Linked DNA regions of Cricetulus griseus. The protein of the gene in region 4 binds, or shares a complex with, the protein of the main gene of each other region. Links are inferred from orthologs where the notes say so. Each region holds a gene or a part of one and is shown on either strand. Other genes may lie near its edges.

Region 1 (3,973 bases), on a different chromosome or scaffold from region 4:
GACCAAACGCTTTGATTTGAGGAAATAAAAGAAGTCTGACAACATGTACTGTTTCAGTTTGCTAGTGGCTTATACACACTCTGCTTCAATTCTACAAGCAGTAATGCCTTAATTACCTTAGTTTTAAAAAGCTGTACTGACTTTTGCTATTTCAAAACATCTTCCAACAATCAAGGTAGAGTCAACCCACAGACAAGGATGTATGCCACAGCCCTGGAGCAGCACAGCACTGAATCAGCTAATGGCATTAAGTCAGCTGGTTATGGCAACCATAGTTGCTTACTGAGAGTACTACTGGAGAGTGTCCACACTTCTTTTAATAAAAATAGTGATAATATATTCAACATTTGCATTACAGACCAAGCACCCCACCATGTTATATGAAGGTATGAAATGTGTGATCATTTGTTTACATAAGATGCCATTTAATCACTCAATACAGAAGCTATTTATTCTGTGCAAGGGCTTTCCAAAGCCCATGCAAAAATAATGACCTTAGTGGATGACTGCTAAAAAAGACAAATAAATAAAAGGGATTTTTTCTGTTATGGAAATGGAGAAAAACTTCCTCACTATATTCATCATTTAAAGTTCTTCAGTGCATAATACCTTTATATAAAAAAAAAAACGATTCTGAGACATTCTAGTTACTCTTAATTTTCTTAAGAAAAAAATCTTACTTTCAGTTCATTTGCCAATATAGACATGCTGCTACTTTTGTTAATACATTATCACTTTTTGCTTGTTTGTTTTGTTTTTCAAGACAGGATTTTCCAGTGTAGTTTTGGAGCCTGTCTGGGAACTAGCTCATGTAGACCAGGCTGGTCTGAACTCTTCAACTGCCTCTGCCTCCTGAGTGTTGGGATGAAAGGTGTGTACCACCGCCTGCCTAATGCATAATCACTTTTAACTTCAGAAAACACCAAGTTTATAAGAAAAACTAAACTTGAAAAACCCTATAATATGTATAGACTAAATCCAAACTATCATAGAATTTTAAAAAATTGAACTATTACAAAATGTTTGAAATAATCCCTTATTCTATACCTATTTGTAACAGGTATTATACATCCTAATTATATGTATTATTTTAAATCAGCAGATTGTCTTTTACAAAACAAAAAACAAAAACAAAAAAAGTCCCAAGGCAGCAAAGAGCCAAGGTGGATAAGAAACTGGAGAGGCCCTAAAGTGAATCCAAATCTATCTGCTATCAAGCTCTGATCAATCCCTTTGGAATGTGCTTTGCTAAATGTTTACTACTGCAACTGTACTGAGTCAAAAAGGAAAGAATCACACATACACCTGTCACATGCTTATGACGGACTACGGGGCTATGGGCCCCCAAAAGAGACGACCCAGAGACTTAGATGAGAAAGTACAAAGTACATTCCGGAAGAAAAGTTACATAAGTGTGTGTGTGTGTGTGGTGGGGGGTCGTTGGGGGTGGTGGTGGTGAGGGACTGACAATGAAAAGAACAACTCCTAGCAAACGAAGGCTGCCTTTGAGCCACCTCCAATATGGCTTTTCAAAATAGCAAGGTTAATTTGGAAATAAGTACAATACAAAAAACTACCAAGCACTGATGGACAGGAAAAAAAAAAAAAAAATCAAAGCTGAGCCAGTACGGTGGGTGGGTAATGCCTGTAAATCCCAGCACTAGGCAGGCAGAAGCAGGTAGAGCAGGAGACTAGGGCCAGACTCTGATGCACAGTGAGTGTGAGACCGCCCCGAGCTGTGTTTACAAAACAAGAAGAAACGGGTAGAAAAGCCGACCCAAGGTCCAAACGTTTCAATCAAGGGCAGGTCCATCATGTTTCCAATCATGACTATTTCTCTGGCTCGTTGTGGCTGAGAGAATAACCCTGTTCGTAGTTGACGGCTGTCGGCGTCTCTGGCAATAGGCAACTTGTCAAAGTTCGGCCTGCCGAGCCCACTCGGGTCCCCGGGGGAGCCGCGCGCAATCTGCGATCCTAAGCGTTTTACTCTTGAGAGATCGGGGAATAGGATGAACTTTTTCTTTCTCTCTTTTTCCTAAGTCTGAATGCAGAACTCGGAGTTTGCAGGCTCAGGAGCAAACCTTGTGGGAACCACGAGTTTCCCCCGCGGTGCGATGTCGTCATCGCCGTGCCGTGTCACACACACACACACACACACACACACACACACGCACGCACGCACACACACACACACACACACACACACACACACACAAACACCGGCCCCCGCGTGTCAGCGGGGTGCTGTGCCGGCCAGCCTCCTCCTGTGGAGGCGGCAGCCCGAGGAAAGCGGCGCGGAGAAGCCCGCCCGCCCGCCCCGGGGACGCGCCACTTACTCTGCACCTGCAGGTCCATCTCGCGCATCTCCGTGAAGCGGTCCCGAAGGTCCATCGGCAGCTGCTCAATCACTGTCAAAGGCACAGTCCGTCAGAGGGCGGGGCCAACGGCGAAGCTACGCGCTGGCGTCACGCGTGCGTGCGTGCGTGCGTGGGGGGGGCGGCTCACAACGAGGCTGCCAGTTACCGTGAGAAAGAAACATCCCCCGCTCCCCCTCCCTCCCGCCATCCCGCCCGCCCGGCCACTCGCGCTCCCGCCCGCCGCCGATCCCGCCAGCCGCGTCGCCGGCGCCGCGCACTCACTTTCCAAATAGTCCTCTAGGTACAACATCGCGGCCCTGACTGCTGCGGGGACGAACGGGTCCAGGGGTTTATTTGTGTCACTCCTTGTCGCCGGAGTTTTGTCCCTTCCAATATGGCGCCTCCGCTAGCAGCACCCGCTCGACTCCGGCAAAGGGAAAAAAAAAAAAAAAACGGAAAAAAAAAAAAAAAAAAAAAAGGCTCCACTTTGGCGCCTGACGGCGCCTGCCTCACTGCCGCCCGGCGTTACTATTGGCTGCCTGGAGCGCTGACGTCAGCAGGCCGGTGCGGATCCCCGTGGTGTTCTGGGAAATGTAGTCTTTTTTTCCCGAGCGGGGGGCCATCCATGCGGGCAGCTCCAGGCGTCGCAACTACAGAAACCACACGGCTGTGCGAAACGGGTACGCCAGAATCCGAAATGCGGTGCCTCTGTTTATTTGTGGGTTTCTTGCAAGGGGAATGACGGGAATTGTAGGCGCCTGCCTGACAGAACTAGGAACAACTTTTCACCTGTTCTGTGCTGTGATTCCAAGCCCGCCGTTTGTGAGTCATGGATTTCTAACCGTGCTAGGCAAATAGCAAAGGTTCCAAACGCTAGAATAATCGGCCAAGTTCGGAAAACTCGAATTGTTTAGAACACAACTCCCTGCTGGAATTTATCTTCGTTATCCACTCCTGAGATATAAACGGGACAGCTGACTGTTGTTGATCCTGTAACTTTAAGATATTTATACCAAGACTGGATCGAATGAGCATTTCCCAAATTGAAAAATGCCCAAAAATTGTCTGCAATAGCCAGTATGTTTTGCTGCGTGTCTCGAATTCGTTGTAATATTCTAATGCACCTGCAAATAAATAAATAAATAAATAAATAAATAAATAACGGCCAACCATAAATTATGGAGATTTAATCCAATTCTGGGATATACCAGCAATGATTCAAATTTACGTTGGGTAAATATCCGGGTTAAGGTTTGTAAGTCCTGGACTGCGTCTTTTTCTACCCCTAACAAGTGTTCACTAGTAGTATAACGAGTGTATCACCGCTCTGTTTCTGTCTTAAAATCCCTTTCATAAAAATTCGTGCACTAAATACATGCTTTGTGTTTTGAGGAAATGATCCCTTCTTACACTATCTATTACTTACCTGTAATTCCGAAACTGGGGGAGTTGAGACAGGAGAGTCAACAGTTCGAGGGGAGCTTTGGCAACACGGGTAGTTGGAGGCTAGCCTAGACGGTGGGAGACCCTATTTCACACCAAAGAAAAATTAAAAAAAAAAAACAAAATTTTATAAAAACCAGTGTGACATTTTTAAGATTTATTCACTACTCTGA
Region 2 (3,955 bases), on a different chromosome or scaffold from region 4:
ACCAGCCAGTACTCTTAATTCCTGAGCCATCTTTCCAGCTCAGAACTGGGTTTCTTATTAGATCTGAGTTGTAGGCTTATTTTTATTTTATGTGTACAGGTGTTTTTCCTACATATGGATACCTCTATGCATACCTGGTGCCTTCCGAGGTGGAAGAAGGAATGGTAGCAGTTGGAAGCTACCATGTGAACAAGTGCTCTTGACTACTGAGCATCACTCCAACCCCAGATCCCAGATGTAGTAACAAACTTACCAGTGCACCTGAATAGACCTAATCAGATCCTGGTTCTCTGTCCCCAGTACAAAAATGTTTATTTAAAGGCTAAAAATCAGGAACAACAAATGCCATCTTCTCTACTTGGGTGTAACTTTGGCAATCATTATTCCAATGAGCAGAAATGGAACCATAACATCCCTTTTAGAGACCAGGAAGCCAAGGTCTAGAAAAAAAATGACTTGCATTAATAGGTCACACCCTCAGTATGGTGGGGTGTCTTGATTCTTAAGCCTTTTTTTTTTTTTTTTATTTTGCGTTGTTTGTTTTTTGTTTTGGTTTTTCTGTGTAGCCCTAGCTGTCCAGGAACTCACTCTGTAGATCAGCCTGGCCTCGAACTCAGATATCTGTGCCTGCAAACCCTGGGATTAAAAGTGAATGCTGCAACCAAAGGTGTGTGAAACCACCCTCCGGTTCATTTGTTTTTGAGATAGCATTTCATTATTTAGTCCTGGCTGACCAGAAACTTGCTTTGTAGATCAGATAGGCCTCAAACTCAGAGACCCATCTGCCTCTGCCTCCGGAGTGTCAGGATTATAGAACTGAACTAAAGGCGTGCACTATCACGCCAGGCACCTCTTAAGCCTTTGGATTCCAGTCTTATCCAGGGCTAAGAGAGCTCAGCAAGAGGCCTTGTACATCCAGTGTCAGAAACCCAGTTCTTCCGCCAGAATACGCCACTACACTGTCTTGGGACTCCTGTTTGCAAATTTGGATTCTAAAACAATACAACCCAGTTTACAAGTTTTCCAAGGAGAAAGTAAACTGGGCACTTTATAATCCGCCCATATAGCGGGCAGTGGTGGCCCACTTGGGATGCAGAGGCAGGTGGATCTCCGAGTTCAAGGTCAGCCTGGTCTACAAAGGGAGTTCCAGGACAGCCAGAGCTACAGAGAAACCCCGTCTTAAAAAGCCAAAAACATAAATAAAAATAAACTGTCTATATAAACCTGTTACTACACCATGGCAATGTCCCGCAATTCTCCAAATTGGAGGCGAAAGGATGCGGGAAGAGGCCCACATTTGCACCTAAGGCTTATGAGAAACTGCTTGTTTTGATTTGTTTTGCCCTGCTCGACAGAGTCCCACCTGCAGCCATCCTCCTACCTCGGCCTCCAAAGGCTGGGAATTACAGGTATCAGTCACCATGCCCTGCTGATGGACAGCTTTTTAACTTTGAGTTATTCCAGAATCTTCTAAAAAGCTCTAGAAAACTTCTAGTTCTCCCAGCGATAATAACCCTTACAGAAACAATGTTTCCTCCACCTCGCTCTCGGCTGAAGTCGGCAGAAACCCGCAAACCCGCCACAGAAAAGAACAGGGCTCAGGCACGGGTAGCTCTGCACGGTGACTGCGAAGGCCGGGCAGACCGGCGCCTTTGCTAGGGCGTCAAGGGACCACCGTAGCGCCGGTCCCTTGTCCCTCGTCTTCAAGCAGCCGCGAACCGGCGAGCCCCAGGCGCCGTCACCGCCCGCCGCGGCCCAAGCTTCCGACCCAGGAACCTGGCGGGAACCGCAAGGGAACCCGACGGCGGGGGGCTCGAAGGCGACGCCTCCGGGGGCCCCTCCCAGCCCGCGAGTCTTCCCGACGACCGCACACGGCACTGCGCGGCTCGCACGAGCCACGGGCTTGCGTAGAGAGGTCCGCGCGCCACGAGGATCGCGGCCGGCGCCGTCGGGTCCCGGGATTCCGCCGCCGCCCGGGCCCGGCGCCGGCGCCGGCCCGGCGCGCGCCGCCCGCGAGTGGGCACCGCCGGAGGGAGCGCAGGGTGCAGATCGGCCCGAGACCCACGCCCCGGGCCGCGGCCGGCCGAATGGCGGCACCGCGGGAAAGTTACACCAACTTCGCAGGTGGCGAAGGCCCGGGGGTCGCGCCCACGCCGCCCGCCCCCGCGAGGCCGGGCCGCCAGACTGCGGGGACGCCGAGGGGCTGAGCCCCCGCGCGCCCGGGAAAATGCCCCTAGAAACTTAAGCCCTTCGCCATTTTAAGCACAAGAAGCCTGGCGATTTAAAACTTAAAATAAACACCCCGCCCCCACCGCGAGTGGGGGCGCGTTTCCCAGTCCGCCCCGCGCACCCACCGGGACCACCGAAGCCCACCCCTCGCGACACAGGGCGGGAGGGGAAGGTGGGGGCTGAGTCATCTCACCTCCTCCGGGGCTCTGTTCTTCAACTCCAGGTTAATCTTCTTCTTCATCTCCATGTCCTCCTCCTTTCCCCTCGCCTGCCCTCCCCACTGCCCCCAACCCTAAAACACCCCTAAAGGTCTGGAGATGAATGAAAAGAGACGCAAAGACGAACGCCCACTACCACCCGGGTGTGGGGGAGAAAGAAAAGAATAGCAAATGGAGTCCGACGACTTGGGACTAACTCGGCTGCCCCCACCTTCTAGTCCACACACCCGCGCGCGCACACACGGGCACGCACACACATTCACACAGAGAGAGAGAGAGAGAGACACGCGCGCGCCCGCCCGCAGTTCCTTCCCCTTCAATGGCTGCTGCGAGACTGAGCCTCCATGACACGGCACCGCCAACCCCCTGGCCTACGCTCCACCCACCTCCCGACTGCATTGGCCGAGCCTTTAGCGTCGCGCCACTCCATTGGCTTAGAGGACTGCCCATCCGTCGTTAGGGGGGCCCCGGACCAGAAACTCGGGGTCTATTGGCTCTGAGCAAGCGCGCAGTTAATTCCGATAGGTCCGGGAGGATGTACGTCCCGGAGAAACGATTTTGAATCCCAGTCGCCCCCCTCCTTTTCTTTGTGTGATTGGCGCGCTTTCCCTCGCTAGTGGGACGGTTTGGCTGTCTATTGAATTTGTTTTTGTTTGTTTGAGGGCTTTCTGGCTTCGGGGTTAGAGGAAGGGAAAGGGCGTCGCTGGCGTCCCCAGGGTGTAAGCGGGTCGGTCATCCAGCGCACCGCACTCCAGAGCTTTCGGTAGTCTTAAAGCACAAGCTCCCTGCTATGCGGCTTACCCAGTGAGCCAGGGACTCAACGCAAGAGCAGCGAGTTCGGGACACCTCCCCGTCTCGAACGGCCCTGGCGTTCACCAGAGCGTGATAAAGAAGGTATTTTAACTTCCACTGTCAAAGGCGAAACGACTCTGGAAGCAGTTGAGTTTAGCACGTTGAGTCAGAAACCTTTAAATAAAACTGTCCTGTGGGAGTTGATACTGAGGTCATTTGTCGCTGGCAAATAGTTGGGACCTTGGAGGAAAAGCAGCACGGGCCTAAAGAAAACACAATTTCCAATTTCCCATTTCCCTTTGGTAAGTTTCCTGCAGAAATCTACTTAAAGTGTTCTTTTAAAGTGTATGTGAGGCACTGAAGAGACGATGTCCTCTTGCAGAGGACCCTGGTTCTGTACCCACATGAGGGCTCCCAATCATCCATAACTACAGTTCCAGGGAATTCAATAGCCTCTTTTGACCTTCACAGGCTCCAGGGCCAGATGTGCGTGTGCATACATTAAAGCAAAACACTCAAATACATTTTAAAAAGAAAGTCTACTTAATGTTTCTGTAATTCGAAGCATAATGGTACACACGAAGCATAATGGTCACAGACCTCCGAAGGGAGAGGCAGGCAGAACTGCCTGGTATACAAAGTGAGTTCTAGGCCAGCCTCTATCTCAAAACAAAAACTGAAAACCTAAGTAAGAAATGAGTACTGAGCCGGGCGTT
Region 3 (4,134 bases), on a different chromosome or scaffold from region 4:
CTAAGGCTCAGACTAGGAACTCTGGCAACTTTCAAGTACCCACCAGTCAGGCATGGTGAAGCTCACCTTTAGTCCTGGCACTTGAGGTAAAGGCAGGAGGATTAGCAGTTCAAGGCCAGTCTGAGCTACATAGTGAGTTTGAGGCCAAGCTGGGAAACATGAAATACCCTGTCTTGCCCCACAAGCATGACAACCTGAATTTGATTCCCACACCCCACAACAGAGAGAACCAACTCCTGAAAGATGTCCTCTGGCCTCTACACATGCCCTCTGTAACATATGCACATTCAAATACACAACAGGTATAAGCATCCTCAAAACAGATGTCACTCTGGAGATTCTTATGACACTCAAATCAACAGAAAGGTATTCCCTAACAAAGCAAAGGAGACTTGAAAGAGATAAAAGGAACATTCTAGAGACAATGAGACCCTCTGAGGATTTCACTCTCTGCTGGAGGTAGTCCAGGGTAATTTTAATTTAAGAACACAAATTTTATATGCTAAATTGTATTCCTGCACATTGGTTTCTTTTTTTTAAAAACATTCATATAACCAGTCGAGCTAGACAGACACTAGTTAAGACATGAATTCAATTAGGCTCAAACATCAATACCATTCTCTTGGGTAGCTTAAAAAAAGAGAGACAATGAATGAGTACCTTGCCAGTTCCAGGAGGCCCTGCCAACAAGACAGCTCTTCCAGCCATTTTCTTGCTTTTGATTAATTCTACTATGACTCCACATGCCTGCACACAATGGAAAGAAACAAGCAGTCAATATTAAAATGCCTCATGGTGGAAACAATTCAGTGCTTGGTCCACACAGTTCACATACTCTTCCAACACTGAGTGTCAGCAGCTGCCACAACGCTGTGATGGAGTGGAGCAGTGGAGGTGAGGCAGCAAGGCCGTGTGCTCCAGCTCAGGCTCAAGGCACAAGATGGCTGCTAAGGAGGAAAAAGGGTGTTGAGATAGTGAGTGGCTATGGGGAGCTGGAAGGTCTTTCTCATAACACTGTTGGTAATATTCAAAGCCCTAGGCAGAAATCTACATCCCAGGCAAAAACTGAAAACTCAAAATATCCAAAGCAGAAACTTGGTATGTCTAAGGGACAACATGCCGTAGCGCTAAAGCATGGTGAAGAGAATGGAGAATGGAAGTTGAGGCAGCAAGACCAACACAGACCTGGAACTTAAAGTTCAAAGGCAGCAGGGATGTGAATTTCAGGCCAGTCTGGCTACAGCAACATTATCTAAACAAAAAAGGTATGCTATGAATCCATCCAATAAAAGAACTGGAAAGGGCTGGTGAGGTGGCTCAGTGGGTAAAAAGCACTTGCAGTGCAAACCTGAAGAGTTAAGTTCAATTCCTGGAGCCCACCGTGGGAGGAGAGAATCTCTGACCTTCCCTGAAGCACTATAGCGGTCACATGACCAAAATGCATTTGCAGGTGCACTTGAGCGCTGGCACACACGCACAAATTAACAAATGAAACTTAAATACCAGCTAACATTAAAAGAATAGAAAGGGTTTTCAGAAGATCACCTAGTCTTACTTTTTAGCACCAGGGAGGCTGCTGTTGTGATCAGTCATGCAAGAATCCAATGCAGAGGCACACTTGAAAGTCACATACACTCCAGTTTATATGCTGGCTCTTTCACTTGCCAGTTGAGTTCCCTCAGACTTATTTTACCTACAACCTCTGTGAATCATGGTTACTTACCTGAATGCAAGTGTTCAAAATAACTTTTGGACATGGAAGAAAGGGCTTAGGGATAAAGTGTGCTGCCATATGCAGTCTGTCTGAAATGTGATGGCAGATTGATGCTGTAAGATGCTAACTGTAGAATCCAGGCACACTAGTATTTACAGTGCAAACATTTCAGTTTTTGTATGTCTAGAAAGCATCACACCAAAGTGAGGGTTATTGCACAGAAAGGACATAACAAACAATGGCCTCAAAGCTGCCTGGCAAATAGAAAGCATTTAACTACCATTACCTGCTTGCAAGAGAAGGTGCAAGTACCTAGGGTCAAATGTTTCCCCTTTGGATAGATGGCACTCCAAGCAGAAACCAGAGTCTTTTCCCTGGCACCTTCTGTTTGCAAGAGGCTGAGACAGAAGTCTTCACCAAATGTAAAGATCAAGTTTTTGTAGTTACTGAGCCTCTGTAGAAACCAGAGTGGAAGGGGCTGAGGAAATGGGAAGAATACTGATTAGGGGTGGGTGTGGGGGAAAGTATCAGCTTTATTACTGCTGAACTGACAGGTGGAAAGGTGCCCTGACCTCTTCCAACTTTGATTTTTTTTCGTGTGCAAAACAGAAAAGATCAAATCACCTGGCATGACTGCCGATGATTTTAAGTAGACTGAAGTGGAATAGCTAAAATAGTGCTTGGATGGGGGATGGGCCAGACTGACTGTTCCTCCCATCACTCTACTTCCCAGGTCAGCTCCCAGGCCCCCCAAAACCGCATCAACTCTGAGAACTTGGTCAATTCTATGACTAACCTCACAGCCTTCCACTGCTATTCCAGTGAGACCTAACTTGCGTGCCCTGGCACGCGAAGGATGCAATCTTTGCTCGTTAATGTGATCCCCGCTTCTCCTACAGATCTCGGTGGGTCCGGGTCCGCCCCGCGCACACGCCCCACGCCCACCTCTCTCGCGTTCTCCTGGCCCACGAGCCCTGAAGCCGCTTGCTTGGCCAGGCCGCTCTCGTCCAGCCCCAGCCCCTTCACGTGGCTGTGGGAAGCGATGCGCTGCGTCTTCGTGGTGCTCTTCACCTCCTCAATCTTCATTTTGACGAGCGTTTGGAGACACAACCGGCGTGGAAAGGTAGGAACTGCGGCACGCCGGGCACCCGGGTTACCACGCGGCCGTTACTAGGCCGCTCTCTGGGACCCGCCCTTATTAGCGCGCCATTGGTGGAAGCGAGAAGACTTCGGTTTCTATTGGCTACAAGCTACGCCCGTCGGTAGCTGCGGGTGAGTTCCGCCCACCAACTTCCGTTTGTGTTACAGGTTGGATTTCCCCAGGGCAGGCGTTTCCTCCCCTGGCTATCGTTGATGGGCAACAGCTAAATACTTTAAAGCATTATCAATGTTAGTGGCAGTCTTTGTTTTTTATAAACGCCTCTTTTAATATCTTTTTTTCCTTAGATTAAGATATCTGTGCCAGGGTGAGTTGACTCTTTCACTGACAATTTTAAGACCTTTCCCAGGTATCTGGTTGCCCTGAGAGAATTTTCAGCAAAACAGCCGCCCAAACTTCCCCCATGATGTCCCGAGGAAGCTGCTCAGCCAACCACTTTTCCTTTTTGCCGGAATACAATGGATCCAGGATGCACTATTCCAACCAGGACAGTTTCAAAGAATTTATGCCATAATTTTGGTCATCACATATCTAATGAACTCTTTTAAAGATGGTTTTATGTAACCTTGGTTGGCCTAGAACTCAGAGACCCACCTGCCTATGCCTCTGAGTGCGAGGATTAAAGGTATCACCACCATACTCTCATCAGCCATTTTCACCAGACTTGAGTAGGTACAGTTCTCCAGGTAGCCCAGAAAAACAAAAACAAAAAAACAGCCTGTGATTGGTAAAAACATGGTCCTTCCTTGAATCAGCAACTGTTATTGGTGCAAATATGGTAGTTCGGTTTCATGAGCCACTGTGCCACAGCATAAATGGAATTTTTATTTGCATGAAGGGCTGTCCTAAGGGCAACAAACGCTCTTGTTTACCTTCCCCTACAGCATTCTGGTTAATGAAGCAGGTGTGCCTCACTTTTCAAACAGCTGGGAGACACCTTCCTGTGGTGCAGTGTGCAATATATTGCAAAATTAGGCCCACTATAAGACTTCTCTTGAGAAGACTTTCACCTCTAGTAATAGTGAAGGGACCAGCTCCCCATTTTGGCAGTCATAACAGCTGAACACATGCTCCCCATGACCTTGCCTTGGTCACTAAGAGGTCAGATGCCTGCCTTGTGGCAAGGAACCAATCAGAAATTAGCTGGTGGTGCTATGCTTTAGGGCTCTGGGTGTGCTCTACGGACAAGTGCACAGCAATGACGTACAGAGCGTAGCAACCACCCTGGGAGGGCCTATGGTCCATAACAACTGGTTGACCA
Region 4 (2,763 bases):
GATGAACATGAGAAGCTGAGCTGCCCAGAGCTCCACACAGGAACAGATGATTCCAAATTGGGAAAAGCTGGGTGACACTTAAACCTTTAGCCAAAAAGAAGTGGGTGCCGAGAGCCTACTTGAGGAAATAGGCAGTTGCTTGAGGAAAGGGCCTTGGGAGAGTGATCTCTTTATTCCTGGTAACTGGCATGTCTGCATGTGAAGCACAGATGACAGTACACTCACACAGGCTTGGCCCTGTCAGCCTCCCAGACTTCTGGTAAGGCAGCACATACTCACTGAACTCAATCAGCAGCTTGCCATAGCCTCTGCGCTGATAGGGAGGCAGAGTCAGGATGCAGGCCACATTGTAATCTTCAGTAGATTCCTTTTCCTGGAATCAGAGTAGGTGAGTTTTAACTTAGACTTGACTCAGGGCAGGGCCGAGGGACAGCCTGGGTGAATGCTGACCTTGGAGAAGTAGCCCACAATGTGGAAGCCCTTGCAGTCATACTCTGTCATCACATAGAAGAGGAAGGGGTCTGTGTCATAGTACAATGTCTTGTGGTCGAGGAAGCACTTGGCCAGCAGACACAGGTTTTGTGAGTAACTCTGTAAAGAAAAAAGCCTGTCAGTCACTACTCTGGGGGCACTACTATAAAGAGTTACACTTTATGCTGACATATGTGATTGCAGGCATGTATGTACTACACACACATGCATTCTCTCCTTCCACTATGGTTCCACAGAGTGAACTCAGGTGCCCAGGCTTGTGTGACAGGGCTTCTACCCACTGAGCCATCTCAAGGGCTCTGAGGAGCACTTGTTTTTGCTACTTCACTTGACAGATCGGCTTCCCTCCTAGGACCCTAACCCCACCAGTTAGGCCATCACCACTGGTTAGGTAGGGGTTAGGTAGAAAAACCCTTTACTGAGACAGGGTTTCTCTGTGTAGTCCTGGCTGTGTGGAACTTGCTCTGTAGACCAGGCTGGCCTCAAATTCAGAGATTAGCTTACCTCTACCTCTGCCTCCCAAGTTCTAGGATTAAAGGTGTGCACCACGACTGCTCGACTAAGGGCTACTTCTTAAGCGTCCAGGAGCATGTGTACTAGTGTCTAAGTGCCTGCTCCCATGGTGAGCTGCACAGCTTCCCATATACCCAGCAAAGCCTGCTCTGGACCTGTACTGTCCTCTGTTCTGCTTTAACAATAGCCAAGAACATTTCCAAGCCAGGCATGGTAGTGTCTGCTTATAATCTCAGCACTTAGAGGAGGCAGAGGCAGGCTATAAGTTTGAGGTCAGTAGGCTAGGGCTACATAATGAGAACTTTTTATTTTTCAAGACAGGGTTTCTCTGTGTAGCCCTGGATGTCCTAGAGCTCACTGTGTATACCAGGCTGGCCTCAAACATGCAGCGATCTGTCTGCCTCTGCCTCCCGAGTGCTGGGATTAAAGGCTAAAGGTGTGTGCCCCTCTGCCATTTTTAAAAAAGTTTCCCTGTCGAGTTAACTTCAAATTCAGTCTCAGGACAGAAGTTCTGCTCATGTGGCTATCCTTGGGTGCCAAAACCCCAATGCTCTAGCCACAGTGATTTTGCCTCTTGGGAACTGGTCTGCTATTCTCCAGTGATGGTTTAAGAAAATGCCAGCCTTAGTGGTTCTTCCTGCAAAACTTTGGACTTAATATAGAGCAGTGTTGCTGAGCAGTGGTGGTAAACACTTTTAATCCCAGCACTTGGGAGGCAAAGGCTGGATCTCTGGAGTTTGAGGACAGCCTGAACTACATAAGACAGCCAGGGATACACAGGGGAACCTTGTCTCGGGGAAAAATAATACAGAGAAGTGTGTAACTTTGTCTTTCTCTTGAGCTCCTGCCGCCCCCAATCAGGGTACCTGCCTTCTCCCCACATCCTGGAGGCCCAAGAGATGTGTGTATCTCAAGGAGCTCTATGCTTCTCATCTCTAAGACCCAAACATGCTTCTCCAGTGATCTTGTTCCTGCCACCTGACCTCTGACCTTCAAAAGTCTTGCTTCATCCCCTCTCACCTTCCTTTTACTTTTCACACATACTGTCCTGGTACCTCAGTACCCTGCATCACTGAACCCAACTGCTTAGAATTGCCTTAAACATGTTTTCTCCTTCATGTCCAGGCTCACAGGTCAACCTGGAAACTTTCTCAAAATAGGATTTGACTGTCTACCCCTGGCTGGCGAAGAACTCCCTACAGACTAGTAGAGATCACCTGCCTCTGCTTCCTAAGTGCTGGAATTAAAGCATTTGCCACCATACCCATCCAAGATCCTTTCTGTTTGTTTTTGACAAAGGGTCTTACAATTTTGAATTTTGAATACACCAGCTTCAGCCTCCTGGATACTGGGATTACCACCCTGGGCTAAACTGTTTTTTAAACTGTCTTTAATTTTACATTTGATCTTTGCCACCATAAAGTTTTTGTTCTTTGCTTTGTTTTGGATTCCTCTAAAGAAGGTCTTTCTCAATTTATAGCTTAGGTTGGCATAGAACTCCTTATAGCCCAGGCTAACCTTGAACTCAGGAGCTTTCTGAATGCTAAGATAACAGGCATACACTACCTAAAAGTTGTGATGATAGTTTCCTTTGAACTCTGCTAACTTATCCTTCTTTTCACGACACTTCTCACACTGGGATCTGAATAGCTGTGGTATGTCTGCTTCTGCCACGGAAAATGGCCTCTTAAGAGAATAGAGTTTGTCTAAATCCTAGTATTCTGTGCATTCCCGCAGGTTGAACCAGAGTGGTCAATT

What was found.
Region 1: Kat5 (region 4) and Ing3 share a complex: the UniProt entries of both Homo sapiens proteins name them as parts of the SWR1-like complex. The link is inferred for Cricetulus griseus from reciprocal best matches to the Homo sapiens genes KAT5 and ING3.
Region 2: Kat5 (region 4) and Anp32e share a complex: the UniProt entries of both Homo sapiens proteins name them as parts of the SWR1-like complex. The link is inferred for Cricetulus griseus from reciprocal best matches to the Homo sapiens genes KAT5 and ANP32E.
Region 3: Kat5 (region 4) and Ruvbl1 share a complex: the UniProt entries of both Homo sapiens proteins name them as parts of the SWR1-like complex. The link is inferred for Cricetulus griseus from reciprocal best matches to the Homo sapiens genes KAT5 and RUVBL1.

Annotation. Positions count from the first base shown.
Region 1 is NW_023276806.1:205,262,019-205,265,991, forward strand, and holds the start of Ing3 (inhibitor of growth protein 3), read right to left. Parts: upstream 2,801-3,973; 5' UTR 2,668-2,800; coding exon 2,640-2,667; intron 2,409-2,639; coding exon 2,337-2,408; intron 1-2,336. UniProt on the Homo sapiens protein: Component of the NuA4 histone acetyltransferase (HAT) complex which is involved in transcriptional activation of select genes principally by acetylation of nucleosomal histones H4 and H2A.
Region 2 is NW_023276806.1:60,586,061-60,590,015, forward strand, and holds the start of Anp32e (acidic leucine-rich nuclear phosphoprotein 32 family member E), read right to left. Parts: upstream 2,801-3,955; 5' UTR 2,477-2,800; coding exon 2,423-2,476; intron 274-2,422; exon of another isoform or gene 254-273; intron 1-253. UniProt on the Homo sapiens protein: Histone chaperone that specifically mediates the genome-wide removal of histone H2A.Z/H2AZ1 from the nucleosome: removes H2A.Z/H2AZ1 from its normal sites of deposition, especially from enhancer and insulator regions.
Region 3 is NC_048601.1:54,830,684-54,834,817, forward strand, and holds the start of Ruvbl1 (ruvB-like 1), read right to left. Parts: upstream 2,801-4,134; coding exon 2,660-2,800; intron 748-2,659; coding exon 661-747; intron 1-660. UniProt on the Homo sapiens protein: Possesses single-stranded DNA-stimulated ATPase and ATP-dependent DNA helicase (3' to 5') activity; hexamerization is thought to be critical for ATP hydrolysis and adjacent subunits in the ring-like structure contribute to the ATPase activity.
Region 4 is NC_048596.1:53,750,940-53,753,702, reverse strand, and holds part of Kat5 (histone acetyltransferase KAT5), read right to left. Parts: intron 2,352-2,763; exon of another isoform or gene 2,173-2,351; coding exon of another isoform or gene 2,131-2,172; intron 592-2,130; coding exon 451-591; intron 374-450; coding exon 280-373; intron 1-279. Other genes in the region: Rnaseh2c (ribonuclease H2 subunit C), read left to right, coding at 2,131-2,172. UniProt on the Homo sapiens protein: Catalytic subunit of the NuA4 histone acetyltransferase complex, a multiprotein complex involved in transcriptional activation of select genes principally by acetylation of nucleosomal histones H2A and H4.